Arabidopsis thaliana: one gene and its partner. The protein of the gene in region 2 interacts with the protein of the main gene of each other region in a pairwise test. Each region holds a gene or a part of one and is shown on either strand. Other genes may lie near its edges.

Region 1 (16,002 bases), on a different chromosome or scaffold from region 2:
GAAGAAGAGAGGAAGAGAGAAGATAAGACGGATAAGGAAAAGAAGACCCCGAAGAAGAAGAAGGGATTGAGGAAGCTGGTTGATAAAGTTGTTGGATCTTCTTCTCCCACTAATATCCATTCCAAGAGCTGGCGTTGTTGAGTCATTGTAGTACTTTATTACATCATCATGTATACTTCAACGTACCACGTTTAAATGAAAGCTTCTCTTCTTTTTTCTTTGTTGAAGCGCTAGTGGAAAAAAATATCTTTAGGTCTCTCACTCTCTTGTTTGATCGTTTGTTTGTTGAGGTTTTTTGTTGTCCAGTATGCACTTTTTAAGTGAAAACAACAATGAATTTTCAGTGTACTTTCTATTTTTCAGAGTGCACTTTTCAAGTGAAACAATGAAAATTTGAAGGAAAAACAAGTACACACCTATAAATGATTAGAAAAACGAAGATGTGTGTAGTCATTTCCATAAACGTAACGATAAATTCTCAGTGGAGATGGTTAAAATAAACCGTAAATAGTTAAAATTTAACAAATGCCCAAGGTTTTGTGTAGAATAGAACAATTTAATTTTATATCTGTTCTCCGGGTTTTCTTGCTTCCCGATCAAATTGGGGTGTCAACATTTTGATCTAAAAATCAGTGACATCATATATGAGACTTTTCAACGTGTTTTTTTTTGTCTAAAAAAATTTCATCATTCTCTTGTCAAGTATTATGTAAGGTTAACAAATCTCCTCATAAATTTTTTAAAGATCGAAAATTTTCTAAAAATATGTAAACTTTTTTTCGTCTATGGTTTCTTAAGGTGTGAAGAAAAAGAGGCTGTTTACGGAGTTCACTCTGTTTGACACTTCAACCAACTTTTGTCTTTATATGTTTTTATTCTACACCATTAAATCAAACTTAAGACAATCATATGCATTTCTTTATCCACAAAATTGATTTGCTTATTGTACTTCATCATCCCGTTGTAAAATTTATAAGCACAATTTTCGCCAACTATTTATTCCGCAAATTGAACAGCTGATTTTATTTAAATTAATGTGATCTTTATCACAACAAATTCACAAGTCACCTGCTGCTGGTGACGCAAGTATCCCCCTCTCTGTTACAATATCTCACGATCATTCAATTGTATCCATAAAGATGATGTATGTTACTATCACCACCACCACCACCATCGTCATGAATCATGATCATCAGACAACGACTACGAAAAAATCATAAGTCTACTTTTATTAGACACACAAATCTGTGAAAATGGCGATTTAGTTAATAATAATTCGCTCAACTTTTTCTTAATCAATCAAAGGAATAAAATAACAAATAATAATAAGACCATTTTTTACTTTTCCCCTTCTTTATGCAAAATTCGGCCTCTTAATTTTCAAAATTTTCGACCTCCGATCTCCCATCTCCGCTTCCATCATCTTTAGGATCTCTCAATCTCTTTCTTCACTGATCGATTAGGGTTTTCGAGCTGAAATCGATACTCCTCCACCGCGAAGAAGCGATTACCTAGATTTTTCTTCTAGGTTTCTGGCGGATCTCGCCAAGTTCTCCTTATTCTCTTCAGCTACGGCGAAACTTTCTCTAGCTCCACTCCTCCCTCGCCACCATGTTTTGGAAGCTCACATCTCTCTCTGCATCATCTCCTGTGAGTTGAATTTTTAGATGTCGTGTTGTATGTTAGCGTTCATCTTGTCTACAGATACTGATATGCTTTAGAATTAGATTATTGGAGTTTCTATCCGTTGCTTTGCTTTTTCATATAATTTATGTCGAATTTTTGGATTTGCTAGATTTCAATTTTTTGAATTATTGTCTCTGAGTCGTGAATTGTTCATGTATTGATGTTCTTTCCTTTTGTTATGAGCGCAGGTGGAGATAATATTAGACAAAGAAAATTTCACGTTGGAAGAGCTTCTTGATGAGGAAGAGATTATTCAAGAATGCAAGGCTTTGAATAGCAGGCTCATTAACTTGTAAGCTTTTTTTAATCATTTATAATTGGCTTATATTCCTCATTATCTGTTTCATAGAACCAGATAAACCCTATGGTGTATGTTGAATCCTATGTCTCCTCTATCTGCGGAGTTTTAGTTAAGGAGTCCCATATTTCCTTCGTATTTTCTTGGATGACTTTATTGATTGGGTATTAATGTCTGCAGTCTAAGGGATAAAGCTCAAGTGGAGCAATTATTGCGGTACATTGTTGAAGAACCTCCACAGGATGCTGATAGTAAACGTGCTTTCAAGTAATATGCTTCCTTGATTCTAACTGGAATTACCTTGTCTTACCATCCTCTCCTTTTGCCTTTTATCCACTTTTCTTTTGAATGGTTCTGGATTTCTTTTCTCTCTAACTAATAATAGTTTCTTCTCTTTTAGGTTTCCATTCATCTCTTGTGAAATATTTACATGTGAAATTGATGTTATTCTAAAAACTTTGGTCGAGGATGAAGAGGTATTTTTCATTCATCCTACTACCTTTTCCTCAAATAGCAGTTCATACTTTTCACTTTTCTGTGCATCTGGATTATGTTTATTGTTATCCTAGATTCTCATTTGTTCGAATAATTTTATCTTGCAGCTGATGAACTTGCTTTTTTCCTTTCTGGAACCAAATCGTCCTCATAGTGCATTGCTGGCAGGCTATTTCAGCAAGGTATTCTCTCTTACGATACATAAGTTTACGTATTAGCCAAGTTCCTGTAATTTTCTTTTGTTTTGTTTGTACCGATACATATGACTTCATTTCAAGGCTCCGAGAAGTGATTCTTACTTCTCTCTGTTTGGTGTAGGTTGTCATTTGCCTTATGATCAGAAAAACTGCAGCGCTTATGAATTATGTAAAAGTAAGTAATAACACATAGTTAAACGGATGGTAAACTATATGAGAAATATATTATGGAAACTATTTGAACTGATTTCTAGGATTATCCAGGAGTACTGTAGAATACGTCTTATTTTCTGTTAACTCTTCTATTCAGAATTGATATTACCTTCCATTGTAATCTCGCAAGCCAGATGTCCGTCTATTTAGTAAATTGTTAGTAGATGAGATTGACATGACTCTATTCTTCAATTGCTGGCAATTATATTGATGTGACAGACAATTTAGTTGAATTTTTTTGTTATTTGTTTTGTATTCAGTTCTCAAAGTAACTTTTGATGATCACAGGGGCATCAAAATGTTTTCTGCCAGTTAGTTGATTTGATTGGGATAACATCCATCATGGAGGTAATTGGTTTGACTTAGACTCAGTGCAACTTGGTGTGGTTTCAGAGGTCTTTTTTGCTATGATATTTACGCGACTTTTTCTAGGTTTTGGTTCGCTTGGTTGGGGCTGATGACCAAGTCTATCCCAACTTTCTGGATGTGATGCAATGGTTGGCTGATAGCAATTTACTTGAAATGATCGTGGACAAACTTAAACCATCTGTAAGTGGTTAAGCTTTTCTATAATCATCCCAGAGACAAGAGGCTCTTGGTTTTCTCTTTGATACTTGTAGGTGGTGTAAATCTAGGATATCTGATGATATTACTAATTTCTTCTATCATCTTCATTCTGATATGTTTCTTGCATTACAACTTGAATCAGAGTCCTCCGGAGGTTCAGGCAAATGCAGCAGAAACATTATGTGCAATTTCTCGGAATGCACCGTCAGCTTTAGCTACGCAGCTCTCTAGCCCTGGGTTTGTAATCTTTCTTCCATGATGATTCCTAATGCTTTGATAGATGATACAAAAGTGTTTCACATGGCAGCACAACTTTTTCCCTGTTTTTGCAGCTACGTTGCAAAGATATTTGGTCATGCTCTTGAAGACTCGCATTCAAAATCCGGTCTAGTTCATTCACTTTCAGTATGCACCTCTCTTCTGGATCCGAGGAGATCTGCTGTTTCATCTTCTATGTTCAATTCTTACAGAGGTCAACATATGTTCGAGTCTCCTGTCCCAGTTTCCCCAGAAACTATTGGTGCCATGCTGCCCAAACTCAGTAAGTTGGATCCTATGATGCACCATCGTCACATGACCATCAAGATTATTAATTTTCTGGCTTTTTTATTTGTTGCATGCACATAATCTTATTGTGCACTTGGACAATAGTCAATCCTTTTCTTATGTGATATTACTTTCCATTTGCGAGGATACCTAGAGTATTTAGCATCTATCTGGACGTTCTGTTTGATCTTCCCTGCTCTCTATTTGGTCTCTTCTATTTTGGTTTATATTGATAAATGGAAACTGGTTTTACATAATTCTGGAATGCTTACGTAGCACATCTTGGATATGTATGATACTGTCTCATACAAGTTTTTCAAATCAGGTTTTATGCATTCAATGACCTTAAGTAATATTTTTTTTTTTTTCTGCAGATGACTTGCTTATGCTTCTCACTGTAGCATCTGATAGCACAGTATTGCCTACAACATATGGTGAACTGAGGCCTCCTCTCGGAAAGCATCGTCTAAAGGTCAGGTCCAAACATGGAGCATTTTATGGAAGACATTGTCGTTTTTAGGACACCAACAGTGCTCTTAATATATTGTATGTAAAGTCTCTATACTTAATTAGACTCACTTATCTTATTTTCTTTGTTTCAGATTGTGGAGTTCATTGCAGTTTTGTTGAAAACTAGAAGTGAAGCTGCACAAAAGGAATTAGTCAGTTCAGGAACAATCAAAAGGACCCTTGATCTGTTTTTCGAGTAGGTTTTGCTAAACTTAAAATTTTGTGATTACCGTGTGCTATTTCTACGAGATCTTAAAAAATCAAATACTCTCGACATATGAAGGTACCCGTACAATAATGCTCTGCATCATCAAGTGGAGAGTATAATACTTTCTTGTTTGGAAAACAAGAGCGATTTGATGGTTAACCATATTCTTCGAGACTGCGATCTGATTGGCAAATTCCTCTTGTCGGACAGGGACTCAAACCTCTTAGGTGATAGCCAGGTATTACCATTTGCTATGTTCACAAAGGTTTAACTGATCATCAGCATATGAAAGAGTCATCTTAATACAGCTCCAAGTTAGCTCCATTGACTCATTGCTCCAGCGTTCATTAGCTAAACAAATATTCTCTGGCATTTTCTTTTTCTTTTGTGCGAGGTAGCCCACTGTAGCTGCCTCCGGGAAAAAAAAACCTCGTGTCGGGTATGTCGGGCATATCACAAGAATATCAAATAAAATTGGTCAGTTGAGTAACAGCAATGGCCAGATAAAGGCATACCTTCAGGTTGGTATAAAAATTATACGTGTCGTGTTGTTTTTCTTCTGCCGCTTTTTTGTCACTTCACACGCATAAAGAATGTAAAACCATTAGTTGAGTCTTGTGATGAATGGTCCTAGCACTCTGTTGGAATCTACCATGTTTGCTGATTGTGCTTTGTTCATTCCCAAATCTTTAGGAAAACAGCGAATGGAATGAGTGGCAAGGTAGTGTTCTGCAGGACCGCAACACGGTTGAAAATGTCAACAGATGGGGATGTGGGTATGTTAACCTCTACTCACAAATCATCTAGTAACCATTTAATTGGTCAGTCTGCTACATAATGCTGATTATGGATGTAAAAATTCATGTGTGATCCTTGTTCCTCTTGGACAAAACCCTCAAAGATAATTCTGCATTGATGACTGATGGTATCATAGTCAAATAATATTTCTTCTCATGACGAGACCACTCAGTAAATGCACCATGATCTGGTCCCGGGTTTTGGATTTTATCTTCACTCTTTTTGGTTATAAAAATTCCTAAACTAATTGTTACGTGTAGGCGCCCAACTACCCTACAAGATAGGACAAGAGATAGCGATGAGGAAGACAGGGATTACGATGTTGCAGCTCTGGCCAATAACTTAAGCCAAGCATTTAGATACAAAATATATGGAAACGATGACAATGAAGAGGTATCTTCTCACACTAGTGCTTTTTCTTCAATTTATGAATGATTTCCTGGGTACTGAATTTATCGTCTTTGTATTTCTCTCAGGACCACAATGCCCTTGATAGAGACGATGATGTAAGTCTTGCAAAAATTCTTCTCTCCGCTTTTTTGAAAAATCAAGGAAACTATCAACATCTTTTATCACACTATGATACGTATGGGGGATGTACGCTAATAAGAGTTTGCTATTGAAAATTGGAATGTGTTTATATACTATACAGGATGTTTACTTCGACGATGAATCTGCTGAAGTAGTAATTTCATCCTTAAGACTTGGGGATGACCAAGGAAGGTGAGTTTATCTTTTTATTATCTGTTAATACTGGTGTCCTCATGTCCTTGCTTTAAACTACAGTTACTGTATCTTGGTGATTGAATTATGTCATCTCTCTTGACCAAAAAACGAATGATGACGTCTCTCAAAATAATGACTTGAATCTTTTTTGGTATTTTGCCGCAGCTTGTTTACAAATTCGAATTGGTTCACATTCCAAGACGATAGATTCGGCAGCACACCCTCTGACACAGCGGGTTCGAACACGATAGACGTGGAATTGAATAAAACCTATAATGCCAACACTAGCAGTAGTGACGATGATGAAGTTGTGGTTGGAGAAGAAGACGATGATCTAACTGGAAACCCAAAAGACAACGCGTTGAACACAACTGAAACCAACTTTCAAATGGAGAGTCCACTGGATTTCTTCGACTTCAACACCTCACAGAAAGCTGAAGAAGCTTTTGCTGAACAGCCACCCGAATGGGTCGGGTGGGGAGAACCATCTGATATGCAAGCGAGTGGCACCGGTCTGAACCCATTTATCGATGATGATGATGATGATGACAGCAAGCACATAATGAACCTCGACATACCAATGGCTGAGGTCAAATCTGAATCCATGATTCCAAACGGGTCAGAAAGATCGTTATTTGAGAAGGACGTGGAATTTGTGGGAGTGGAACCAGAAGGGGCAGAGAAAGCGATGGAGCAAGCGATGAAAGAAGGGATAGTAGGAGAAGCTGGAGTGATGAAGAAGAACAAGGAGATGGCTGAGGACTCAAAGCCGGAGGAAAGTTCAGGAGGAGTGAAAGAGTTCAACGATAACAACTACTGGAAAGTGGATCAAGAAGTTGGAGTGTTGGAATGAAAAAGTCGTTACCTTGTACAGTGTCATTTTGTGTGAGAGTATGATACAAAACTTGTTATTAGTTAAAATTTGGTGCAAGGGTCTCTCTCTCTTTGGCATGTATCTTTTTCTCTTTTATCATTAGGCTTCTGTTGTTGTCAGCTAGAGGAAGTTGTCTGTGCTTATTTACTTTGCCTACCACGAAGTTGTCCGTTTTAAAGTATATTTGGACTCTTTTGAGTTTAGTTTCGCTTGACAAACATCAAATCATATAGTAAACCTAAAGGGTGACAAAGTCAATAAATGAATTTGAAGCTATTCACTTCTTTTGAACTAATATAAAATATTAAGACAGACGAAAAATAGAAGATTATGGGATTGAAGCAAAGAAGCAAAAAAGCAAACATTGGCTTTCACCTCTCTTCCTCTGATACACAAACGTCAGTGCAACCATATTGCTCGCAAAATGAGAGAGAGATAAGATAAATCACATAATGAAACAACAAATATGTTATATCCCTAACTTGACTAAACCCCTAAACTCTCTTCATCAGATTTGAAAACAGTCACTAACCCCTACTTTTATACCATTTTCTTCCTCCCCTGCTTTACCTTCTGGATATCACTGCGAATCATGCTGGTATCAAACTCGTCGTCCTTCTTTCTCATCTCAATGATCTTCCTGTGTGAGTTTGAATGCACAGATGGGATGAAGGTCGGGCTTGAGGCTGGCCGGTATTCTGGAACTAGGCGACCAGATTTGAACCGGACTCCGCAAGCGTTGCAGAGGGTCTTGGGTCCACTGGGTCCTTGCCTCCACTGTGGGGTCGTGATTGTCTCACAATGAGTGCATATCCGGACTATCCCATCCGACTTACTTGACTCCAAAGTGGAAGACTCGGTGTGGGTGATCAGATGAATCTTGCGCTTCTTCTTGGCATGTTGCTCAGAAGAATAGTAACCCTCGGTTACTGATTCACCCGGAGTTGACTTTCTGGGTTCAAAGGGGAAAAGGTAGCTAAGTCTCACTGTTGTGGGGCGTCTGCGCTTGCTTCTCATGCCTTTCACAGGGAAAGCCAATCTCTGAGATCCGGAGTTTTGGGTGGAGAGAGAACCATAACTGTTCTCGAGAACTGACACTGGAGTTAGAGACTGAAATAGATATGAAACTTTGATATCAGGAGGAGCTGAAGATTGGTGGGGAGTGCTATTAATGCCGGACAAGGCTTCAGAAGAACAGGACTGCTTCTGCACCCACAGAACCAAAGAAAGCAGATGGATTAAAATTCAGGAATCAGGAACACAATCAATGCACCTCTACATGAATGATGCTAATAAGCAAGACAAATTCAGTTTAAATAGATGATATACTCTATCTAATAGGGTAAAACTCTATCAAGTAAGTGATAAGAAAACAAGAACTGACCAAAGCAGGAATCATGTTGTTGGGAATCCGCACACGAGCGGCGCCCTTGGGACAAGAGGTGAGGTCAGAAGGCAAAGCAGGGAACATATCCAAGGGAGGAGGCTCAAGGTCTTGAAACCTGGCGACCCAATCTCCCTCACCATTGGTGGAATCGATGTCTTCAAGTGGGCAATCAAGGTGATTGGTGAGACCATCAAAGAAATCACCAGAGAGAATACCTTTCAAGTGCTCCTCAGCTTCAGCTTCAGGTAACCAATTCATCTACTGTAAACCAAGAAAAGGTAAAGCGATTAGAAAATGAGCTTAAAACTCAACACATATGCAGCAGGAGTTCAAGAACAGCTCCCATGTCCACCAAAAAATTACAAGTTAAAAAATTCAATTACGAGGTTTCACTAATGACACAGACTTAAAGCAATTTCGCAACAGATAACAATGACGACATTTGAAGGTAACGAAGATTGAAACAATTTCTTTTAACAGTGAGACAAGTGTCGGTCGCAAGTATTCATTCCCACACCACCAAAGCAACAAAATATAAAACCCAGTAAAGAAAGAAAGAAAGAGAGAGGAGAGCAAGAACCTTGTAATATATAATTAGACTACACAGAGAAAAGGACGACGAATTTGGAGATGGTCTAAATTGGGGGTTTAGGGATTGCAGGTTCGTTCGAATTTGGGAATGGGAGAGAGAAGAGGAGGGAGAAAAAGGTAGATGGAGTTTTCAATGTCTCGTCATTTTTGTTTTTGCTTTTAATGGTCAACTGGTTTGGGATTTATATACACAGAAATGAACACATGAGTTGCGATTAGTCATTCCAAATTATTAATCAGAGACCCTTTGGGTTGGGGTATATAAACACAACCCACCAAAAAGATTAGACCTTGGGTACCAACAACCCACTAAAGCAGAGAACATAATGAGGCTAAGGTTTGTTATCCATCTTCACAAGTCATGAGGCTAAGGTCTCCAACCAAAAGATCAATGTTCTTTATCGATGATGATGACACCAAGAACATAATGAGCCTCGACATTACCAATGCCTGACGTCAAAACCGAATCTTTGATTCCAAACGGTTCAGAAAGATCCTTCTTTGATAAGGACGTGGAATTTGTGGGAGTGGAAGCACAAGTGACAGAGAAAGGCATGGAGCAAGCGATGAAGATGAACAAGGAGATGGCTGAGGACCTAAAGACTGAGGAATGAAAGAGTTCAACGATAACAATTACTGGAAAGTGGATCATGAAGTTGGAGTTTAGAGTCAGCATCTTGTACAGTGTGATTTTGTATGAGCGTAATGAAACAAAACTTGGTTTTAGTTGAAATTTCTTGTAGGTGAGTCTCTCGTCTCTGTGAAAAAAGCTTTTGTTTTCTAATCTTTCTCTGTTATCATTAAGTTTCTGTTGTTGTCAGCTAGAGGAAGTTGTTACTTAGCTTACCACCAAGGTGTCCGTCTTTAACCTACATAGAAACTCTTTTGCACTTCAGTTTCCTTCTGTTGAACATTAATCATATACGTACATAAGCAAGCAGCCTCCATGACTGAATTTGATGGGCGTTTATTTTTCAACTAATGCAAAATAGTAAAACAGATGAAAAAAAGAAGAAGATTATGGGATTGAAGAATAAAAAGAATAGATTTGAAATAGCGAAAAAAAGAGAGCAAACTTTGGCTTCACCTGTTTTCCTCTGATACACAAATGTCAGCCAAGAGATAAAGATAAAAACACATAATGAAACAACAAAATATTTCATATCCCTAACTTGAACTAAACCACTAAACTCTCTTCATCAGATTTGAAAACAGTCACTAAACCCTACTTTTATACCATCTTCTTCCTCCACTGACTTCCCATTTCTGCGGATCAGAGACCAAACTTTAAAAAAAAAACTGCTTTACCCTCTGGATATCACTGCCCGAATCATGCTGCTATCAAACTGTTCGTCGTCCTTCCTTCTCATCTCAATGATCTTCCTGTGTGAGTTTGAATGCACAGCTGGGATGAAGGTGGGGCTTGAGGCTGGTCGGTATTCTGGAACTAGGCGACCAGATCTGAACCTCACTCCGCAAGCATTGCAGAGGGTCTTCGGTCCACTGGGTCCTTCCCTCCACTGTGGGGTCTTGGTTGTCTCGCAATGAGTGCATTTGCGGACTATCCCATCCGAGTTGCTTGCCTCCAGAGTGGAAGAGACCGTGCGGGTGGTCAGGTGGATCTTGCGTTTCTTCTTGGCATGTTGCTCAGAAGAAAAGTAACACTCGGATTCAGGTTTGCCCGGGGTTGACTTCTCGGGCTTTCGGGGTTCAGAGGGGAAAAGGTAGCTAAGTCTCAGTGTTGTGGGGCGTTTGCGCTTGCTTCTCATGCCTTTCACAGGGAAAGCCAATCTCTGAGATCCATTGTTGTGGGTCGAGAGAGAACCATAACTGTTCTCGAGAACTGACACTGGACTTAAAGACTGAAATAGTTTCGAAACTTTGATTTCAGGAGGAGCTGAAGATTGGTGGAGAGTGCTGGACAAGGCTTCAGAAGAATAGGACTGTTTCTGCACCAACGAAACCAAACAAATCAGATGGATTGCAAAATCAGGAACACAATCAATGCACCAGTAAAGTAAGTGACACAAGATTATACTCGGATTAGGAATACCCTCTACATGAATGCTGCTAACTATGGTTATAAACACAGCGGAAAGTGAAAGATTGACATCACTCAAATTATATGAGTAACTAAATAAGCAAGAAAATTTCAGGTAGAAAAGCTTTTTTTACTCAAATTGGGTAAAAATCAAAACAAGTAAAATGCAAAAGTGATAAAAAAAACAAAGAACTCACCAAAGCAGGAATGTTCCTTTGAATATCCACACGAGGGGCCTTGGCCATGCCAGAGCCGCAAGAGGTGAGGTCAGAAGGCAAAGTGGGGAACATATCCATGGGAGGAGGCTCAAGGTCTTGAAACCTGTCAACCCAATCTCCTTCACCATTGGTGGTATCAATGTCATCAAGAGGGACGTCAAGGTGATTGATGAGATCATCAAAGAAATCACCAGAGAGAAGACCTTTGAAGTCATCCTCAGCTTCAGCTTCAGGTAACCAATTCATGCTATCTATCTAACTGTACCCAAGAAAAGATAAAACACATTCAAAAATCAGCGTAAAATTCACCAAAAGCTGAATTCAAAAACAGCTTCATGTCCAGTTAAATAAAAAAAAAAAAACTTTGGGGGTTTCACTCAAAACTCTGACACAATCAGACAGAGACATATGCTAAAACAATTACAAAACAGAAAATTTACCCAATACAATAACAATGACGACATCATTTTAAGGTAACGAAGATTGAAACAATTCCTTCAAACATCACTGAGAATTTAATTAAAAAAATCACAGAGATAAGTGTCGGTTCACACACCAACAAAGCAAGCAACCAAATTTATTTCCTACATTTTTCGAAAACAACGCAAAACGTAACAGAGGAAAATGCAAGACAAGACACAATAAAAGAGAAAGCTTTTACCCTAACGAGAGAAAGAGAGGGAGAGAGAGACGCAACGAACCTTGTAATATAATTCGACTATACAGAGAAGAGGAGAGAGAGAGAGAGAGTCGTCGTACGATGACGAACTGGAGATGGTCTCAAATTGGGGATTTAGGGATTGCAGGTTCGACTTTGGGAGGGAGAGAGAGAGAAAGAGAAAAGGTAGATGGGAGTTTTCAATGTCTCGTCAGTTTCTTTGAGAGAGAGATTCATTCATTTAAAATAGATAATAATGTAATACTATTACTTACTTACTTACTTACTTGTATATGAAAATTATTATTATGGAAACTGCTTTTCTTAACTTTAAAGAAAAATCTTAATCAGTTTCTTTGAGAAATAAAAATCTCTCTATCAACGCGTTTTACCAAAAAGAAAAAAAAAACTCAATTTTGGTTCTTTTACATATGTCAATAAATATATATATACACTAACTGAAGTAGTAATAGTATTTGTTAAGTTAATCCAAGTCAATTGAAAACGTTGCACTAAAACTTGTGGGTACAACTGTAACATTAAACCTCTTCTTGCAATTAATAAAGATATTGTATCATTAAAGCTGATATATATAAGGTAAGTAAAATATCAGTCAAATATTTTATCTGAATGGGTTTTAAGGAATATATGTCGGTGTAATGAAAGGATAAAAGAAAGAATTTACCCATTTTAACATGGTAATAGTATGTCGACATGGAAATTAAAAGATGGTAATAACACTTAATGATGGTCAAAAGAATTAAATAGAGAAATGATTGCGTGGAATAGATCTAAAAAGGAAAATAGGATAAGCACATGGCAAAATAACCTTGAGGGAAGGATGGTTGATAGATCTCGATCTCTAGCAATAATAATAGATAGTATCATGAATTGATGTATAATTTAATTTACGTAGCAAACAAATAAGTTGGGTTTAACATAATATACTAAAAACCTTTAGTATAATAGAGAGAGTCAAAGTGAAATGGAGAGATCACCGACGAAGGATTAAGAGACGAGAACCGAAATAATAATAATAATAAAGATGATTATGGCGTTTCCTCATGGGAAAGTGGGTCCCTTGCCTAACTCTTTGCTTCCATCTCCCACATGATATGTTTCATCCCTTTCACTTACTATCTTCCTCCCATCAATCAATTATTATTATTAGTATTTTTTATATAAAAAAAAATTAATATACACGATCTTCATATTTCTTTTCATTTTTTCTTCTTATATAGTTTATATGATTTTTTCTTCAAAATTTTTGACATATTATTGTTTACACTGCGTCGTTGATAAGAAAACAAATATCACGTGGGGGTATATTTACTGCTTTTGTACAATTTGTTTTATAGAGATTTGTATGAACTGTACTTTAAATTGCACACAGTCTGTTGCGTGAAAAATGGTACAGTCAAATTCAAACCAGTTAGTAGTGTACTTTCTCAAAAAAAAAAAAAAAAAAAAATTGTGAAATCTTATTACTTTTATCTTTATTGATTAAGCTCACTTAAACAAAAAAAAAAAAAGAAGCACTAATTTTGTGACTTTACCTGTTTTGTTTAGCCTTTTAAAATAAAGTAGATAGAGAGTTTTTTTTTACTTGTGATTTTCCCTTTTTCACCTGTAAGGTAAGGCAACACCCAAAACTTTTTCTTTTTCCACGAAAAGTAGAAAAAGAAAGAGAATAATATTACAAATTGGACCCCAAAAGCTTCTTCAAATTGCTGATTTGGTCCAAAATATAGTGACAATGATCAAATCTTAACTTTGGAGGTTCTTCTCCTTTTAGCGTTTACAAATAGAAAGAAGAGGACGATCAATAAAAGCATCAATGCCACTGGTACGAACTTCCATAGCTTCTCTTCACCCATTTCTCCCAATACGCTCTTTAACTCACTCGGCAGATCAACAATGCTTCTCTTAGACTGCACACGAATCATGGAGTTTAGTCTTATATCAGACAGAAACTAAAAGGCGAAATGTGAAGACAAGAAGTTTCTTACACTTGAGATCAACTTATTCGACACTAATTCATGTTCTTTGGCAAAGATTACTTTTGCATATTTGTAGAGCTCCACATCGAGGTTGTTAAGCGATTTGATCTGCTGAATGACCTCTTTAGGAACTCTTGTACGCGTCTGTTAGATGCATTGTCAAAAGATTTCATTATTCCAGCCTTCTCTCATTAACTTTACTAAGTTTAGATCATGTACGAAAACACTTTACCCCTCTTGTAAAATTTGCTGGAGTTATTCTCTTCAGAGAGTTGACCCGTCTGGTTCCTTGGGACTTTCGTAAATGAGTGATGCAGCCTTCATAGACTTCCATAAGGGTTTTTACCGTCATCTGAAGTGTATATATAAAAGTCACACAAGGTCTCAAGCGTTGATAATAAATTGGAAAAGGGATTCTACTTACATTCCCACTCTTAGCTTCTGCCTTATTCAATGTAACTTCAGATGTACCATTCTGTAATGTCACAGCCATTTTCAGCAAGACAATTACAAAAATGACAGTTGAACAAACAAATTATTACCTTCTGCAGCAGGACTTTACCTGAATATTACTCTTATCTGACCCGGTTTCTGAAATTGTGACACTTGCTTCTGAAGCATCAAGGAAATAAAGTTGACAATTTGGTGAGTGCAAGTACAACCATTTGTTATCCTGACTTTAAATACAACAAAAGCAATAGAAAGCCTAGGCTGTATGCACATGAACTGTCATATCATCATTCTACTTACTCTAAGAGACTATGATTAACCAACAAAGAAACTTTAATAAACCCAGGGACCCAGAGTAACAAGACACAAGTCTAAAACAAAAGAGGGCAAGAGAACCTTTAAAGATGATGTGACAACAAGAAACATAGATCAGAAAAATCTTCATGATGAAAGACAATCAAACCTTATACGATAATCCCCAAATAACAGAGAACAATAAGTAGCTTCCCTAGGTAATTAAAAATCAAACTCCTAAAAAGTGAATGAAAAATATCAGTCAAACATTTTAATGAATAATATGACGGGTTTTGACTTTCAAAAGCCAAAAACTAAAGTAAATACCATCTCCAAAGCGGTACTCTGAAAAAACTGTACACTGTGACTAAAAAAATGATCACCATGTCCTTCAACTAAGTTGCTAGATTCTCCTTAGATAGCCCAGCGATGGTATTAAGAAACTTACACCAACCTGATTTAAGAGCTTTGATTTTCGCAGTTGCATTGGACGGAACCACTTGAGACAGCACTTGAGAACCCACTACATTGGCAAAAAGTGATGCAGATTCCCTGTGCTCCTCTGTCAGTCCAACATACAACATGCTGTCTAGCCTCCTCTGCAAAATTTAAAAAAGCTTACAGAATCTGCTGCTTTTAAAAGCACAATACCAAGACGCAGTGAACTATGATGAAGAAGAAGTGTTACTACCTTGGCAACTTGGAGAACAGACTCACCAAGGCTTTTGAATTTCTGCACACAATGCCGAACCTCGTGTGCTTCTGATAAATGGGAGTTATTTGTCAATCCTGCAATCTGTGAAGTGAAATGAAAATGCTCTGGAGATCTCTAATCAATAACTTTGAAAACTTAAACAAATAGCATGAAAAAGTACCTGAAAAGTCGCTCCATTGTGGATGATGTCATGAGCAGTAGGCGCATCAAGATATTTGTGCAAAGGCATAAGCATCTCCTCCATGTCATACGGGTTATCGTCCTCAATGATCACTACCTCCTTCAATTTTCGTGCATCTCGCTAAGAAAAGCCAAGGATGAGTAAAAAAAGCTTCAGCCCAAGTTTTATGTGTTCTTATCATGTTCTAGCTTAAAAGCCAAAAAAGACGAATGGGATAGGTCGACATACCCGAGCAAACAAGTCTTCTCTCATCCATGGAACTAGGTATTTCCATGGCCATATGTCTAGTGTGCTTATTACATTACTCTTGCGTATGCGGCTAGACATCCTTGACGCAGAAGTTAAATTG
Region 2 (15,077 bases):
ATACAAACATTGATTATGTCACATCATTTTATTTATAGTACATTTTTCTTATTTTAATTTATTTATAAATATAATTTATACAATAGGATTATAAATGCAAGAGAAAAAAATACTATCTTCAATTTACACATAGAAATGTATTACAAATACTTAAAATAAATTTCTTATTTTCAGATTTTTTTTAGAGGAAAAGTTACAAATATTATGCCAAGCTTGTGTTAAGAAGTTAGCATTAAAGATATGAATAAATGTCATCAATATATCGATGTAAATTTAAGAAGAAATTATGTTTGACTTGTATGGTCCACAAATAATTATGTCATCTTTGACTTGTGCATGGTCAAAAATAACAATAAATCTCTTAAAAGCATTCATGGAAATTAGTAATTACTTAGTTTAAGAAGAAATTTTGTTTGACTTCTGTATGGTTCAAAGATATATATACTATATTTAGGTTTGAAGGAATTTAAGGAAACGTATATGTATTAATTATTTTTTCTAACCCTTAGCTAGGTGTATATTCTACTCTAGTGAATCATTCAGAAATATTACATTTCTTGTGAGAAGGTGATTATCCCAAATGACTTCTTCAAATCTTTCTCCTATTACTATATCTCAATAATAACTGTATATATAGAAGAAAAACTAATTATCAAATTTCTCTAGTTCACAGGTTAATGAAAATGAAATTGGGGTGTGCACTTCCAATGACGTGCATGATTTTGGCATGCTATATTATTTGTGGGAGCCTTCTAATGAGTCATTGCCATGGTGTTATAAAAGAAGCAAAGACATTAAAAAGTAATGAAGATCTTGAAATAGAGCACAAACTTAAGCTTATCAACAAACCTGCATTTAAAATCGTAAAGGTTTATCCTCTCACCATGTTATAGAATAATTGAATGTGTTTATATATATATAACATTAAATTACCTATCCTAAGTATTCTAGGATTTGTATAATAGAAAGACGATGAAATTTATGAAATCATGCAAAAAATAATATATTTTCTTATATATGAATTCACAGACTATTAATGGTGAACGATATGGGTGTGTGGATTTCTACAAACAACCAGGACTTGACCACTCATCCATGAAGAACCACACATTTCACCATAAGGTATTGCATTGGTAATATATTTTTTCTTGATATTTAGAAGATTTCAACTCTATTTAGAATAGATGGTAATTAAGTATTGGCAATATTGTGACAATTAAGATAGGATTATTTTCTTGTTTTATTAATTATTAATAGAAAAGTAATTTTTTTTTGTGTCCACTGGATTGGAGATTAGAATTTAAGTTTAGGATTTAATTAGTTTGGTTTCCCATAATTGTTAAAAATAAAGATAAAATCCAAATGTATATATATATATATATATATATATATATATTGGATAAACATATAATGACCAAATTTTCTTTTTATATTTAATATGAAGTATAGATAATCATATACACTATTTTGATTAGAAAGAGCCATATTTTTTAAAAAAATCACTTTTGAGTTTTAATTTACCTTTTTATAGTTTAATTTAAGAAGAGTACTTTAATAAAATTTAATTTTGGAATGGCTAATTAATAATTTATATTGGATTTTGATGTGGAGATGCGTATGTCATACTCTGAAGGATCAAAAATGAAAAGAAAGACACATAGAAACACAACATTTGGCCACTTTTGGGAGAATGGCGTAGGTTGTCCCATTGGTACCGTTCCTATACCTCGAGTCACTAAAGACGCTCTTTTGAGAATGAAATCCTTCGATAGCGATAATTCTAATCCGCAAAGTTCGTGGAGCAAAACCTATAAACCTGCATCTTCTATTGACGATCATCATGTAAGTGCTTTCTTTAAATTGTTATCTTACGAGTAAGAAATGTTAAACATATATTACTGAACTTCGCAATAACAAGATTGGTGGAATAGCTGAAATTATAGATGACTATGTTAGCACATAATTATTAATTTAAACAATGATTAAAATATTCTTTTTAATTTGATGAATACAAAAATATTTAAGTAGTTTTTTTATGTTAATAATACATAGCTTTATTACAAACACGTGAAATTTTTGATTAATATTTCATGGCGAGTATATATATGGTGGATGATATACTAGGAAACATAAGTAATTGTATATTGTATTCATAATTTAATATTATCTATTAACTCATACAGTTATATTTCGATACATGAAAAATATTGGTTTCTATTAACTCAAATTACTCATACCAATTTATAAGATATTGATTCTAATTTTTCAGCATTACAATTTAGCCATATCAGAATGTTAGTTTTCTCAACCATTGTATTCACTATTCAGTTTGCTGTGGTGCGAACTACTAAAGGAACTAGGAGTTACAATGGTGCATCTATGAATATTAATACATTCACTCCTTCAGTTGGACCTATGCAATTCAGCGCTTCTCGGATGCATTTTCAAATTGGAAATGAATTCATCCAAGTTGGTTGGATCGTAAGTCAATATTAATTTAGATCCACTATTTTTTTATACTTGATGTATTATAGTAAATCTTTTTTCTATTATTAATGTATATGAATCATATTTTCTATTCATTTTAGGTACACCCACAATTATACCATGACTTCAACTCTCGGATATTCGTATTTACAAAAGTAAGTGGGCTAGTTCTTGTTTTTATATAATTTAATTATACCATATATATACACGATGTATGCATAATTGATAAACCAATGACTTATGGTCGCATATTATATGGTTGAATTCAGTCGGGAGGAAATGCGTGTTATAATCTCTTCTGTCCTGACGGATCCGGAATGATACTAGTTCGTCAAGACTTAACTCCTGGTCTACTTGCCGAGCAAAAAAGTATTGACTTCGCCATAATGAAGGTCAGTTCTTTTCCAACTAGTATACCCATAACTTTGTATATTTCGGGTATTCAAGAACGTTTGAGTATATGATATGTCTAGTAATATCAATATGTAGATGCATGCAAATATGAATATGGATATGGGTAAAGAAAATTTAGTGTTAGGGTATTTGTATCCCATCCAACATATATAACTAACTTTCATTTATTCATATTAGATTTTTAAAAGAATACATAAATTAAATCCAGTGAAGATTTTGTCAATTATAGTTTAACAAAAATGAGATCATGTATGGGTTCTCGTGGTTCTCCTAGTTTTTATTTTTGTTGATATTTAAAGTTTGAGTACAGGACAAAATCAACGGGAATTGGTGGTTGTTGATGGGTACATCTTGGGAAGAAGTTGGGTTTTGGCCATCAAGCAGATTCAAAGAAAGTTCTGGTACAATGGTCGAATGGGGTGGTGAAGTCTATAGCCCTTCGCCTCCAAATCCTCCAATGGGGAATAGTCATTATCCGAAGGGGAGCCCCAAAGTAGACTCATATGTCCGTTTAATTACGACTGTGGACGAAAATTATAATACTGACAAAACAGTGAAAAACACAGAGAGGTATTCAGACAGTTGTTATAAAGTGAGAGATGCAACGGAGACGTTTTGGAGCCATGTCGGTCATCTTATTATATATGGAGGCCCTGGGTGTAAATAAACATTGATAGTGCTTACCATTATTCTAAAATTGTAATATCAGAAAAATCATGAGAATAAGTTTCTTAGTACGAAGAAAAAAAAACTTAAGAGAAATTTAAAGAACATTTTTATATCTTTTTATTCAACTTGTTCGACTTTGTTAGAAAGGGGAATAAAGAAGAACTATTTTTATGTTCCAAATTTAGAAAATAATACTATTTTTTATCTCATAATCGATAGAAAATTCCACTAAAAATTAAAAAAATTTATTCAGACAAAAAAAAGCTAAATTTTAATCATATGCAAATCTTTTTTTTTTATATAGATATAGTTCTCTAGAAAAACATTAATTGGTGTTAACACTCTTAAGTACTTTAGAAATATTTTAGAACTTACGCTTAATCATATGATTAGGCTCAATAGTCTACATGCATTTGATTCTTGTGTGTGGTAATAATAAGGATTATTTTATTGGATCGATTTGTAAGAAAAAATGACTAATAAAAGCAATGAAATATTACGATCTTTGTGCTGGATGAAATTGTGTAATTTCGATATTTTCGAGAAATATAATTTTATGTGGTTTTTTTTTTTTTTTTGTAAACGTGTGGTTTTGTTGTTACTTGTTACTATGCAGTTGTAGTTAAGTGCTATGAAGGAGGAGGTCGCTGCAGAGGCTTCATGCAAGGAGAGATCATAAGCCCTAAGGGCATCTCCAACCACAACACTAAAATGGTGTTAGAATAACACTATATTTGGTGTGATTTTCACACTAAATTCTTTTTCATCTCCAACCACAACACCAAAAGTCACACTAAAAATACTATTCTCTATTATTATTTTATTAACCTAAAATATGAATACTTTAAAAATATTTAATAATATTGAAACAAATGTTAGACAACAAATTATTACATTAAACAAATTTAATACAAAATAAAGAAACACAATATATTATTTAATTAAACACAACATATTATTTTATTCTTCATTAATTAATATAACATAATATTACAATTTTTGTCATATTCTATTCAAGAAGATATACAATTGTGTCATGTGTATCTCGATGTTTCCCAAAATCCAATAATAGGAATAAACCAATCAGGAGATCAACTATGGACAAGAGTTGAAGCTGAGTATCATAAATCCGATCCTTTTCGTCTTCAACGAAGACCAAAAAGATCTTTACAAACTCGAATGACGTCAATTCTTTCTGCAGTCTCAAAGCTGAGAGGATGCGTTAACCAAATTGAGAATAAAAATCCTAGCGGTGCTTCTGAAGAAGACATTGTAAGTACTCAATTATAAATTCTTGTGTTTACTAACTTATCTTTATTAAATTATTTGTACATGCTAACTTATTTTTATTTGTTTCTTGTAAATATGTAATCAGTTAAACCAAGCGAAGATGTTATTAACTCAATATGAAAAATACAAGAGAGGATTCAAATTTGATCATGTATGGCCTATTCTTAAAGGTATTGAGAAATTTGCTAATGATAACATGAAGACACCCCCTGCATTCCAAGGAGAAGGTCGTGATGTTACGTCATCTTCATCATTTTCAATCAATACCGAGTCATCACCTTCCCCTGGTATGAATTCAATTGATCTAAATATGGATAGTGAAGATGCCAATTTTAGTTTATCTTCAAGGCCTATGGGTTTGAAAAAAGCAAAGCGAAAACAACAATCTGAAGAACAGTTTAAACAACTTTTGGAGCAAAATGATAAACTTATCAAAGCTATTACTAAAGGTACTTCTGAAAGAAATGAAATTCAAAGGCAGAAGATCGAGGTAGCTAGAATGAAAGAAGAGAATAAAATATTATTTGCAGATTTGAATTCTATAAGTGATCCATCCTCTCGTGCATATGTTGAAAATGAGAGAAAAAGAATTTTGGAAAAAAGAGCACAAACAAACCAACATGAAGAAGATGGTGAAGGCTCCCAATATCATGGATCTCAATATCGAGCATCTCATTATCAAGAAAGTCTATTTCATGGAAAACAAGTTCAAGGAGAACCGGATCAAGGTGAAGACAAAAGATCACCAAATAACCAAGAAGATTTTACCCAATATTATAATTATCTTAGCGGAACCGGAAATAATTTTCCTTAACCATTTGTGAAGCTTTTGTTATGTTTTTAAAACATATCTTGTTGCATTTAGTTTTTATGTTTGTGTGGTTTTAATTTTTTAATTATGTTATAAATGTATAATTTATTTTATTGTATTTTCAATCAACTTCGGTATTAGTTTTAATATTTTCTACTAATCCATCATTTTATTAAATTAAAGATTACAAAAATAGTACTTATAAATTATTTTTTAGTTACAACCCTTAGTTAGATTACTTAAATCTCATTACAAATCATATATAATCTATTATAACTAAATAAGCTATTTTAATATATAATAATGTTAACACAAAAGAAAAAATTATTATTTTAATATTTGCCGTGGCTACAGTAGTGCATCAAATATAGTGTTACACTGTACAAAAAAAGAGAATCACACTATTATAGTGCAAATTATACCGTCTGATTGGAGTGAAAAAGTAAACATGCCCACGTTATTTTAACGTTTTCCCGTGGCGTTGGACTTGGCCTTAGATATAAATGAACTCATGCCAGAAAATATTAAGTTACGTACTGTCAATGATTGAAAGTGAAAGTTTTGTTTGATCAAGAATCAGGGAGCAGTCATCTATTTAGTTTTCCTTGACTAGCATTGTAAAGATCATTTTTCAAGAATTTGATGTTCTTTCTGATTAAAAATCTTATACCACTAGGTTTGGAATATTAACAAGACTACAAGAGTCTAACATCCCATTATGAATCAAACTTTTTTTCCAGGTTTATTGTACACTATAGAGAACTTGTTCAGTAATCAATAGTCTTGTTTAGGTATGAAATATATGACTTTACCCCTAATTCGTGGAGATTTGTTGGTGAAGATAGCGACTGGTTCATACCACGGACCACGGTTAAAAGAGCATGTCATGTCTGTAAATGGAAATACTTACTGGCTTGCTTGCACGCAAGACATAGAAAGTGGGGAATTCTTACTTTGTTTGGATTTTTCAATAGAGAGATTTACAAGTGTGTCTCTCCCGGGTGATCATCCTTTTTATCATCATCCTATCACTTTATCAGTGACTAGAGAAGATCAAAAATGTTGTATGTTAGCTACTCGTGGCATGCGAGTAGGCGATATAGATGTATCATGTAGGGATTGCAACTAAGATTGACGGTACCGGAGCCGCGTCATGGAGAAAGTTTCTACAAGCCTTTTTGGTTTGCTAGTGGGATAAATTTTTGGTCGACCAGGAGAACAAAGTTTTGGTGTGTCGTGGTAAGCATGGGGTCTCCAACGTTTTTTTACACGTTGTGGGAGAAGATAAATGTATACAATTGGATCATGATGAGGAAGAATCTCAATGGTCACTTCTTAATCAGTTATGTTCCAACGTTGGTTCAAATCCAACAAGGTCTATAGTTCTTGTAGTGAGGCAAAAAGAAAGTACAAGAGCTAATAGTAGTAATCTATGACTGTCTCATTAAGTTATGCATTTTCTATCCAAGTCTTGATATTTGAGATAAATAATTATATTTAATCAATAATTATTTATTCATTTTTTAAATTTTGTTTATATATCTAAGATCGATTCAAATAGTATTCACATTTCTACAATTCTTGAAACTATTGGAACAACTTAGCTTTGGTTGTGTCGATGCCATGACCACTGACTTTAGTTGTTAAGTCATGGTTTTAATATTTGTTGTAACAAAAAGATTTGATTCCTCAACAAGTTTTTCTTCTGTGTAAGATAATATATTACAGAAACTTTTATTATTAAACATCAATGGCTCCGGAACCATGATGTTGTGTGTATATCTCTAAGGACTTAAGATTACAGAAGGATTCTTGTGTACTATCTCACCTGAGTTTCCAGCTTCAGTTTCCTCACTAGAGTACTGACTATTCAGAGACACTTTTGACTGAATCTGGTAAGTTTCAGAGCTAAAACTAGTGCTGCATTCGGAGTTTTCAGTCAAAGACTGATCAGAAACTTGTACTCCAGAAAGTAAGAATCTTTGGTGAGAATTGCAAGTGTGAATGGCTTCATCACAATCATTGCACAGCATTGCTCTATCCTCTAAGCAGAAGAAGTACCCTTTTCTCTCCTGCATATACATATATATGAGACATCGGTTAAAGAGCTCAGCGAGTGTTTAAAGAGAAAAGAGATTGGAACCTGGCAGATATCACATAGAGGAGCTCCAGAAGCTGTGGTGGCTGAGGCTGCATCTTTTTGTAAGGCGACTCGGTGATGTCTTTGGAAAAGTTTATTAGCTTCATGAACCTTAATGTCACATGGCTTGCATAGTACAGCTTCATCTGAACAACAAAGTACTTCTGCTTCAGCCTTTTCACACACTTCACATTGTATCTTCATCCTTCAACTTTATAATCCAAATCAATGTAAATTGCCAATACACAGACAGAACAAATGTTCTTTGACATTTATGAGAATTAGGACAAGGAGTGAATCTAAATATAGGAAACAAGAAAGAACAAGCTTAAATAAGTTCACATGTGTGGTGGGATCATAAGTTATATCAAAACCTGGCTCTGATACCAAGAGGAATTGATGATCTTTATTCATGAAAAGAGAGAACTATATATAGATATACAACGATATGTCGAAGACGAAATTTTTATCTCAATATGGGGTTATTAGACCAACTTTGGGTGGCATTTAAACCAATAAATGTTCTCCTACCAAAATCTCCATGACAAGATCTTTTTCAGAAGCTTGTATAGTTTTACTTTCTTTTGAAAACATAAATTGACAAACATAGCGACAAGCTTCTCTTAAGACACAAGCATGGCAAGCCAAAAGTAAAGGCAGGACCACAATATGCATAAAGACTGTGGAATTAAAAGTAACTAGCCATAGGGCAATAGAGGTCAAAAACTCTAAAATGTTGTCAGAAACTGAAATGGAGCATGGCATCATTCAAACTCTCTCCCATTCCTTTCCCATGCAGCAGCCAAAATTCTAAGACTCATCACAAACAGAATTGGTCCCAAATATCATAATGGGCCAATAAAAATAGGCCTGGATATAAATAACTATTAAGGCCCAATCCAATCCATAGTTTTTACATGAAGTCTCTGGAACATGAGAGAAGACCCTTAAAGGCACAACAAACTTATCCAACGTGTAGTAACATAATTAGTACAAGTCACAGCCAAAAAAGCTAGAACAATCTCAATATCTCTCTCTGCAAAACTCTACCAAAAGAAAGATATTTCAAGAAACTTCTTCATTCTTCATACAATGTGTATTATATATACACCAGAGAATTGAGACTAACCATCATAGAAAACAAAATAAGAAAGTGAAGTTAAAAGCCTAAAATTTTGGTTTCAACCTTCTACAATAAATCCAAATCACTAACCATGATGAAGCACTTGCTAAGCATCTTCTTCATAGGAGCTTTGTTGCTTGGAAACATCAAAACAAGTGAAGGGTCTTTGTCTTCTGCACTTGAAACTACTCCAGGCAGCTTGCTATCCGATCTCTGGCTAGACCGGTTCCCTGATCCATTCAAGATCTTGGAGAGAATCCCATTAGGACTCGAGAGGGACACAAGCGTGGCTCTGTCTCCAGCAAGAGTAGACTGGAAAGAAACAGCAGAAGGGCATGAGATAATGCTCGATATCCCCGGTTTGAAGAAGGATGAAGTAAAGATAGAAGTGGAGGAGAACGGAGTTTTACGAGTCAGTGGAGAGAGGAAAAGAGAAGAAGAGAAGAAAGGAGATCAATGGCATAGAGTGGAGAGATCATATGGAAAATTCTGGAGACAGTTCAAGCTACCTGATAATGTAGATATGGAATCAGTCAAGGCCAAGCTTGAGAATGGTGTGCTCACTATTAACCTCACGAAACTATCTCCTGAAAAAGTTAAGGGTCCAAGAGTTGTTAACATTGCAGCTGAAGAAGACCAAACTGCAAAAATCAGCTCTTCTGAATCCAAAGAACTCTGATATTGAAGAAACTATATATTACTTTCTGAGTCTGAAGAGAGTTATTATAAATCCAAGAGTTTTGAGTTTCATATTGTGTAAGCTAAATGGAGTGTCATGTTTTGTAACCTATCTACCAAAATCTCTGTAACCTTCTCTATATGCAATAAAATGTTCATTTCTTTATATTATAGAGCCTCTTGATTATTTGTTATAGAACATTAGTCATGTAATTAAAAATCAAGGTATATGAATTAGTTTGGAATCAATTTTGGCAGAAACTTGAAACTAGATTTATTCAGATAACAGAGAAAATACTCTGTGAAAACCAAGGAAATTGACAAGAGTGAAGAAACAGAAACAGAACAGAACAAGATTGAAACTATTTAGACTTAGATTTCATGAGCTTTTGAGCATCAGCTGGAGTGGGAAGTGCAGGAATAGCTCCTTTCTGAGTAGTACACACTGCTCCACATGCATTTGCAAAGGCAAGTGCTTCCTTCAGCTTCCCTTCATCCTGCAACATTCACATTACTCAATCACCAAAACTCAATTTCATATGCCTTATCTATGAACTGAAAACGTCTTTGGTTATACGTACATCGAGTATGGAGCCATCTTTTCCCAATGAGACAAGAAATGCACCAACAAATGAATCACCAGCTCCAGTTGTGTCAACTGCTTTCACAGCGTATCCAGGCACTCTCCCTTTGAATTTCTGCGCTTTTCGACAGTCGAAAAACTTTGTTTAGATAACTCCAAAACACACACAATCATGTCGAATTTGATCCCTTACCTTTGTGTAGTATCTGCAACCTTTCTCTCCATCAGTAACAATAAGCAGCTTAAGCTTATCATGCATAAGAGACAAAACAACATCATCCTTCTCCGCATCTCCACGCGTTAGAAACGTTACCTCATCATCGCTTACCTACACATCACGAAACTCGAACACTAAGATCATCGAAAACACGAGTCCGGTTGTTACAACAAAAACAAACATACCTTGATAATATCAGCCTCATTCCAAATACTTTTGATGCCTTCTATAGCAGCTTCAGTAGAAGGCCAAAGAGGCAACCGAACGTTCGGGTCATAAGAGAGTAAGACTCCCGCATCTTTAGCGGTTTTCATCGCAGCCATGTGAGCTGTTCTACATGGCTCAGAGATCAAGCTAATGGAACCATAGTGGAAAATCTTAGCTTTCTTGATAAGATCCTTGTTGAGTTCAGATTCTTTCAAGAGCATGTCCGCACTAGGGTTCCTGTAAAACATAAACTCTCTCTCACCATCTTTCTTCAAAGTCACAAAGGCCAACGCGGTTCTTGCATTGGTATCAAAGCAAACACCTTCACTGTTCACACCGTTCTTCTTCAATATGTTAACCAACATGTGTCCAAACTCATCATCACCAAACTATAAAAGACATTACACAATCACATATCACTTTTCACCATCAGTTAATAGATTCTAACATAAATTATACAAACCTTGCCGATGAAAGCTGATTTGCCACCGAGTTTGGTGATGGCACAAGCAACATTAGCAGGAGCACCACCAGGGGCTTTGAGAAAACCGGTGGACTCAGCTAAAGAAACACCAGAAGTGTCAGGGACAAAGTCGATAAGCATTTCACCAAAGGAAACTATCAATGGAGTATTAGCCATCTTTACTCAGACAAGAAATGTTCACACACATAAACCAAACAAAATTAACCTCTCTTTATTAAGCTGGAGAATTAGCAACAGAACTGCATGAAAAATGGGATAAGCATTTAACAAAATCCCTAACTTGTAGTAAAAACTCAGTACAAACTTTTGACTGTAACAAACCTCCAATTTAGGGTCCTAATTATATCAACAGAAATAAATCTTTGTCACACACAACGTACCAAATTCTCTGTATTTATATTCAAAGTTTAAGTCTTTCTTACTTAGTTGCAGTAACTGAAAAATCCGATTTGAACAAATCTTATGAAAAGAGATTAATCATTAGTTCAAGACTCAAGAGTCACTTTACAGAGCAAATTCTATACATTTTTAACCTTTTTAAGGGTTTTAAACCCTAAAAGAGACATTATCAAAACTCTATGATTAGGGTTTTCAAATCCCTCCATTGTCCATTAACTAGGACCCCAACAGCTCAAGTACATGACTGTCCTCAGCGATTCTTCAGCTTGCTTGGTCTTGTTGGTATAATCGATTGATGAGGAAGAGAGCTTCTTAGCTTGCGACACGGATCTTAAGTTGTTGCGTAGATACTGATTCGCAGATCGGATCACGTAGTTCCAACGACACACGCCTAGTTGGTCTTTCAATGCCTCAACGGCTCCGATGCTTGCAGCAACCATCCACGTTTTGCTTGCAGAGCTCATTTCTCTTTGTTTCTTTCTTGTTTAAGTGATTTGGTTTCGATTTTGTGTTTGTTGATGATGAATGAGAAGTGAATCAAAGTGGGTTTTGTTTATAAAAGAAGAGAAAGCAGACAAAAAGTGCCGTGCCTTTGGAGTTTGAAAGTGCAGACAAAAAGTGGGTTTTGTAGCTGCTGGTTTTCTTGGTTTCTGCTGAAACTATGAATGTTTAGTTCAATGACGATTTTGCCCATGTTTAGTTCATCGACTTGAGCTGCTTTTTTTTTTTTTAAATAATAATATAGATCCTAATTTTTGTGTATACTAGAATGATCTGTATATTAAATCTATAAAAATTTTAAAAATTAATGTACTACTTGAAACGAAATTTATTATTTATAAAATGACTGATTAAAGGATAAAATAAAACAAATCTCTATATTCTTTTTTACAATCTCTTTTTTTTAGTAAAATGTTAAATTTTATATCATTTTAAATTTTTGACAGAAGTTATAAAGAGAACTGAGAACGGATTAAAGCAATTTACAGAAAAGTAAAATAATATTACTACTCTAATTGTATACGATTGCTCAAGAGCGCATACCAGTAAATCGCAAAGAAAAACACCAATTCCAAATCTACTAAACTCGGAAATTTGTGTGGTTGTCACAGAACCAACATTCTAAAATTCTCATTCTAATTGTTATGAGCGGAAATATGTTTACTAATTTAGCGGAAATATTTGATGATACTAGTTTTACTTTTGATTTTTTGAATACTCATGTTAAATGGTATTCATCTTCTGTATGAAAGAAAGAAAAAAAAAAAAAGTAAGTCATCGCAAAACCATTTTTCTTTTGATTGAATTTTTATTTATTTATTTACATTTTGTGTTTAATATATTTTTTACTTTTTTGGTCGGCAAATGATTTTTGATATTATATTATTATTCATCTCCAACATGCATTATTCTACAAGGAGATAAAGAAAACATTTACTATATTTCAAAACTTGGACACAACACGAAACCCAAACAAGTGAACAATCTCAAAACCAGGTGCACATGATAGCGGCACTCGTTAATCCAGGAACTACCAGAATCCCAATATTACCCCTTATCCAATTCGTTCTTAAAAGGCTAACAACGTCATTTTACTATCCAGACAGTAGTAAACAACCAAAACCAACGGCCACAGCTTCTAGTTTTAACTCCAACTACACGGCAATATTGTTGGCTTCTTCTCTCTTACATAAACACACCAATTCACTTCACTTTCTAAACATCATCAACAAAAACAATTCTCAATACACAAAACACAAAACACAAAGAAGTTTAATTCTCTGAAGAAAGATGAGTTCTACAAGCAAAGCATGGACAGTGGCAGTGAGCATCGGAGCCGTAGAGGCATTAAAAGACCAACTAGGTCTTTGTCGGTGGAACTACATACTCCGGTCGGTTAATCAACATCTCCGGAACAACGTTAGATCTGTTTCTCAAGGGAAAAGGTTCTCTTCGTCTTCTGTCTCCGCAGCCGTTACCTCCTCTGGTGAGAGCGAGAAGGCTAAGAAGGCTGAAGAATCTCTTAGAACAGTCATGTACTTGAGCTGTTGGGGTCCTAATTAAATTGTATATAATATATAGTTTTCTTACTTCTATAATCAGAATCCTAATCAACATTGCAATTCCATAGATATTATTAGTTCAAAGTAGTAACCAAGTACAACAAACAAACATCAATGTGACTCAAATTCTCTCTACAAAGTCACTACTCCTCTAAGCTATATTGCTTCTTCACAGCTTCAGTTATCTCCCAAACAACTTTCATATCTTTAGGGAAAACAACAACATCTCCTTTCCCTATCTCAAAGGTTTCTTCTTCTTCGTCGTATCCGTCTACATTCACTTTCACTTTCCCTTCCATGAAATATATTGTCTCTGTCTTCTTAAACTCCCATGGAAACTTGCTTGGAGCACCTTCCCACCTACTCAATGTACATCACAACTCAGTCCATAAATGCAATGTATAACATTTTTCTCTGGTTTATTCGTCTAATTTAAGAATCAATCATTTGTAGAGAGACTAACACAAAAATTACATGATTCAGACACAAGTGAACTTGTCTGTTTCAGAGTCTCAGACACAAGTATATGTAAACAGATTCTTGCAGCAGGAAATGTCCTGAGCTAACAGTGGTGAGATTCTGTAAAATTGATGATACAAATCCTCAGGTTGGATCAACACTAACAAGTAAAGCCATTGAGGAAAACCCTAAGCCCTAGTTCTGTATCTGCGCCATTAAAGCAAAGAAGCAGAGAGATATGAGAAAGTTACTGACTTGGGCCAAGAGGCAACGCCTAATTGAGCAAGTTTGGTATCTGAAGCTTGACGCAAGATCTTGACACCATGAATTTCAGTAGGAATCTCAGAATCGGAAGAGACAGATACGATTGCTTCTTTAGGGTTTAGCTTCGTGGTGATGAAAGAAACGCAAACGCAGACTGTTACGAGAAGCAGAGATAACGTTAAAAAATGATTACCCATTTGGATTTTCACAACTTTGAGTTTCGAATTGATGAAAACGAAGCCAAAGATTTCAGCTTTTTCTATAGAGACGGTCTCTTCGAGTTCTTTGAAGTTGGTAACTTTACCAAATCTGAGAGCTGCAAAGAAGTTTTTTTTTACTGTTTTGAGAAAAAAAACTGCAATTGGTGCAAATCTTAAATTAGCGCAACTAATTAGCAGATTAACCTAAAAATTATTTTTGGGGCGGTAACTGAATTTTTTTTTAGAATTTAATCACCACTAAGGATTTAACCCGTAATACATCACGGAACAAATATTTTATTTATATATAATGATACTATTAAATTTTATAGTTTTAGTTTAATATTAAAATTATATAATTTTATATTAATGTTATAACTAAAACATTGATGATGATAAAATAATAAAATAAATATTTAACATGTGTTATATATATCAATCTAAATCCGTTCTGCTATATTTCATATCAATGTAAACCCGTTCCGCTATATTTTTTGTCTCATGATATTTTAACTTTTTATAAGTTTAAATATTAGTTGTGATTGTGATTCTGGACTTTTAATTCCATGGAATATTCAAACCAAGATAA

What was found.
Region 1: the proteins of bbx23 (region 2) and GATA10 interact in binary tests that used the Arabidopsis thaliana proteins (3 or more experiments, as listed by UniProt).

The regions. Positions count from the first base shown.
Region 1 is NC_003070.9:2,475,802-2,491,803, forward strand, and holds GATA10 (GATA transcription factor 10), read right to left. Parts: upstream 9,926-16,002; 5' UTR 9,711-9,925; coding exon of another isoform or gene 9,543-9,710; 5' UTR 9,086-9,542; exon of another isoform or gene 8,767-9,085; 5' UTR 8,764-8,766; coding exon 8,503-8,763; intron 8,325-8,502; coding exon 7,659-8,324; 3' UTR 7,439-7,658; downstream 1-7,438. Other genes in the region: AT1G07985 (uncharacterized protein), read left to right, coding at 1-141; AT1G07990 (SIT4 phosphatase-associated family protein), read left to right, coding at 1,612-1,650, 1,875-1,978, 2,165-2,251, 2,385-2,460, 2,587-2,661, 2,798-2,851, 3,178-3,237, 3,322-3,438 and 11 more; AT1G08005 (serine/threonine-protein phosphatase 6 regulatory subunit), read left to right, coding at 9,543-9,710; GATA11 (GATA transcription factor 11), read right to left, coding at 10,401-11,045, 11,335-11,601; TPST (tyrosylprotein sulfotransferase), read right to left, coding at 13,774-13,944, 14,023-14,157, 14,246-14,365, 14,438-14,488, 14,576-14,625, 15,212-15,356, 15,449-15,553, 15,633-15,773 and 1 more. UniProt on the Arabidopsis thaliana protein: Transcriptional activator that specifically binds 5'-GATA-3' or 5'-GAT-3' motifs within gene promoters. May be involved in the regulation of some light-responsive genes.
Region 2 is NC_003075.7:6,361,512-6,376,588, forward strand, and holds bbx23 (B-box zinc finger family protein), read right to left. Parts: upstream 8,440-15,077; 5' UTR 8,016-8,439; coding exon 7,815-8,015; intron 7,744-7,814; coding exon 7,456-7,743; 3' UTR 7,318-7,455; downstream 1-7,317. Other genes in the region: AT4G10220 (NEP-interacting protein, putative (DUF239)), read left to right, coding at 678-869, 1,030-1,122, 1,612-1,842, 2,329-2,481, 2,589-2,642, 2,757-2,879, 3,212-3,568; AT4G10230 (no-apical-meristem-associated carboxy-terminal domain protein), read left to right, coding at 4,750-4,842, 4,946-5,674; ATHSP22.0 (HSP20-like chaperones superfamily protein), read left to right, coding at 9,026-9,613; AT4G10260 (pfkB-like carbohydrate kinase family protein), read right to left, coding at 9,975-10,109, 10,194-10,310, 10,389-10,523, 10,598-11,008, 11,083-11,259; AT4G10265 (Wound-responsive family protein), read right to left, coding at 11,715-11,966; AT4G10270 (Wound-responsive family protein), read left to right, coding at 13,294-13,566; AT4G10280 (RmlC-like cupins superfamily protein), read right to left, coding at 13,709-13,925, 14,280-14,485. UniProt on the Arabidopsis thaliana protein: Probable transcription factor that may be involved in seedling photomorphogenesis.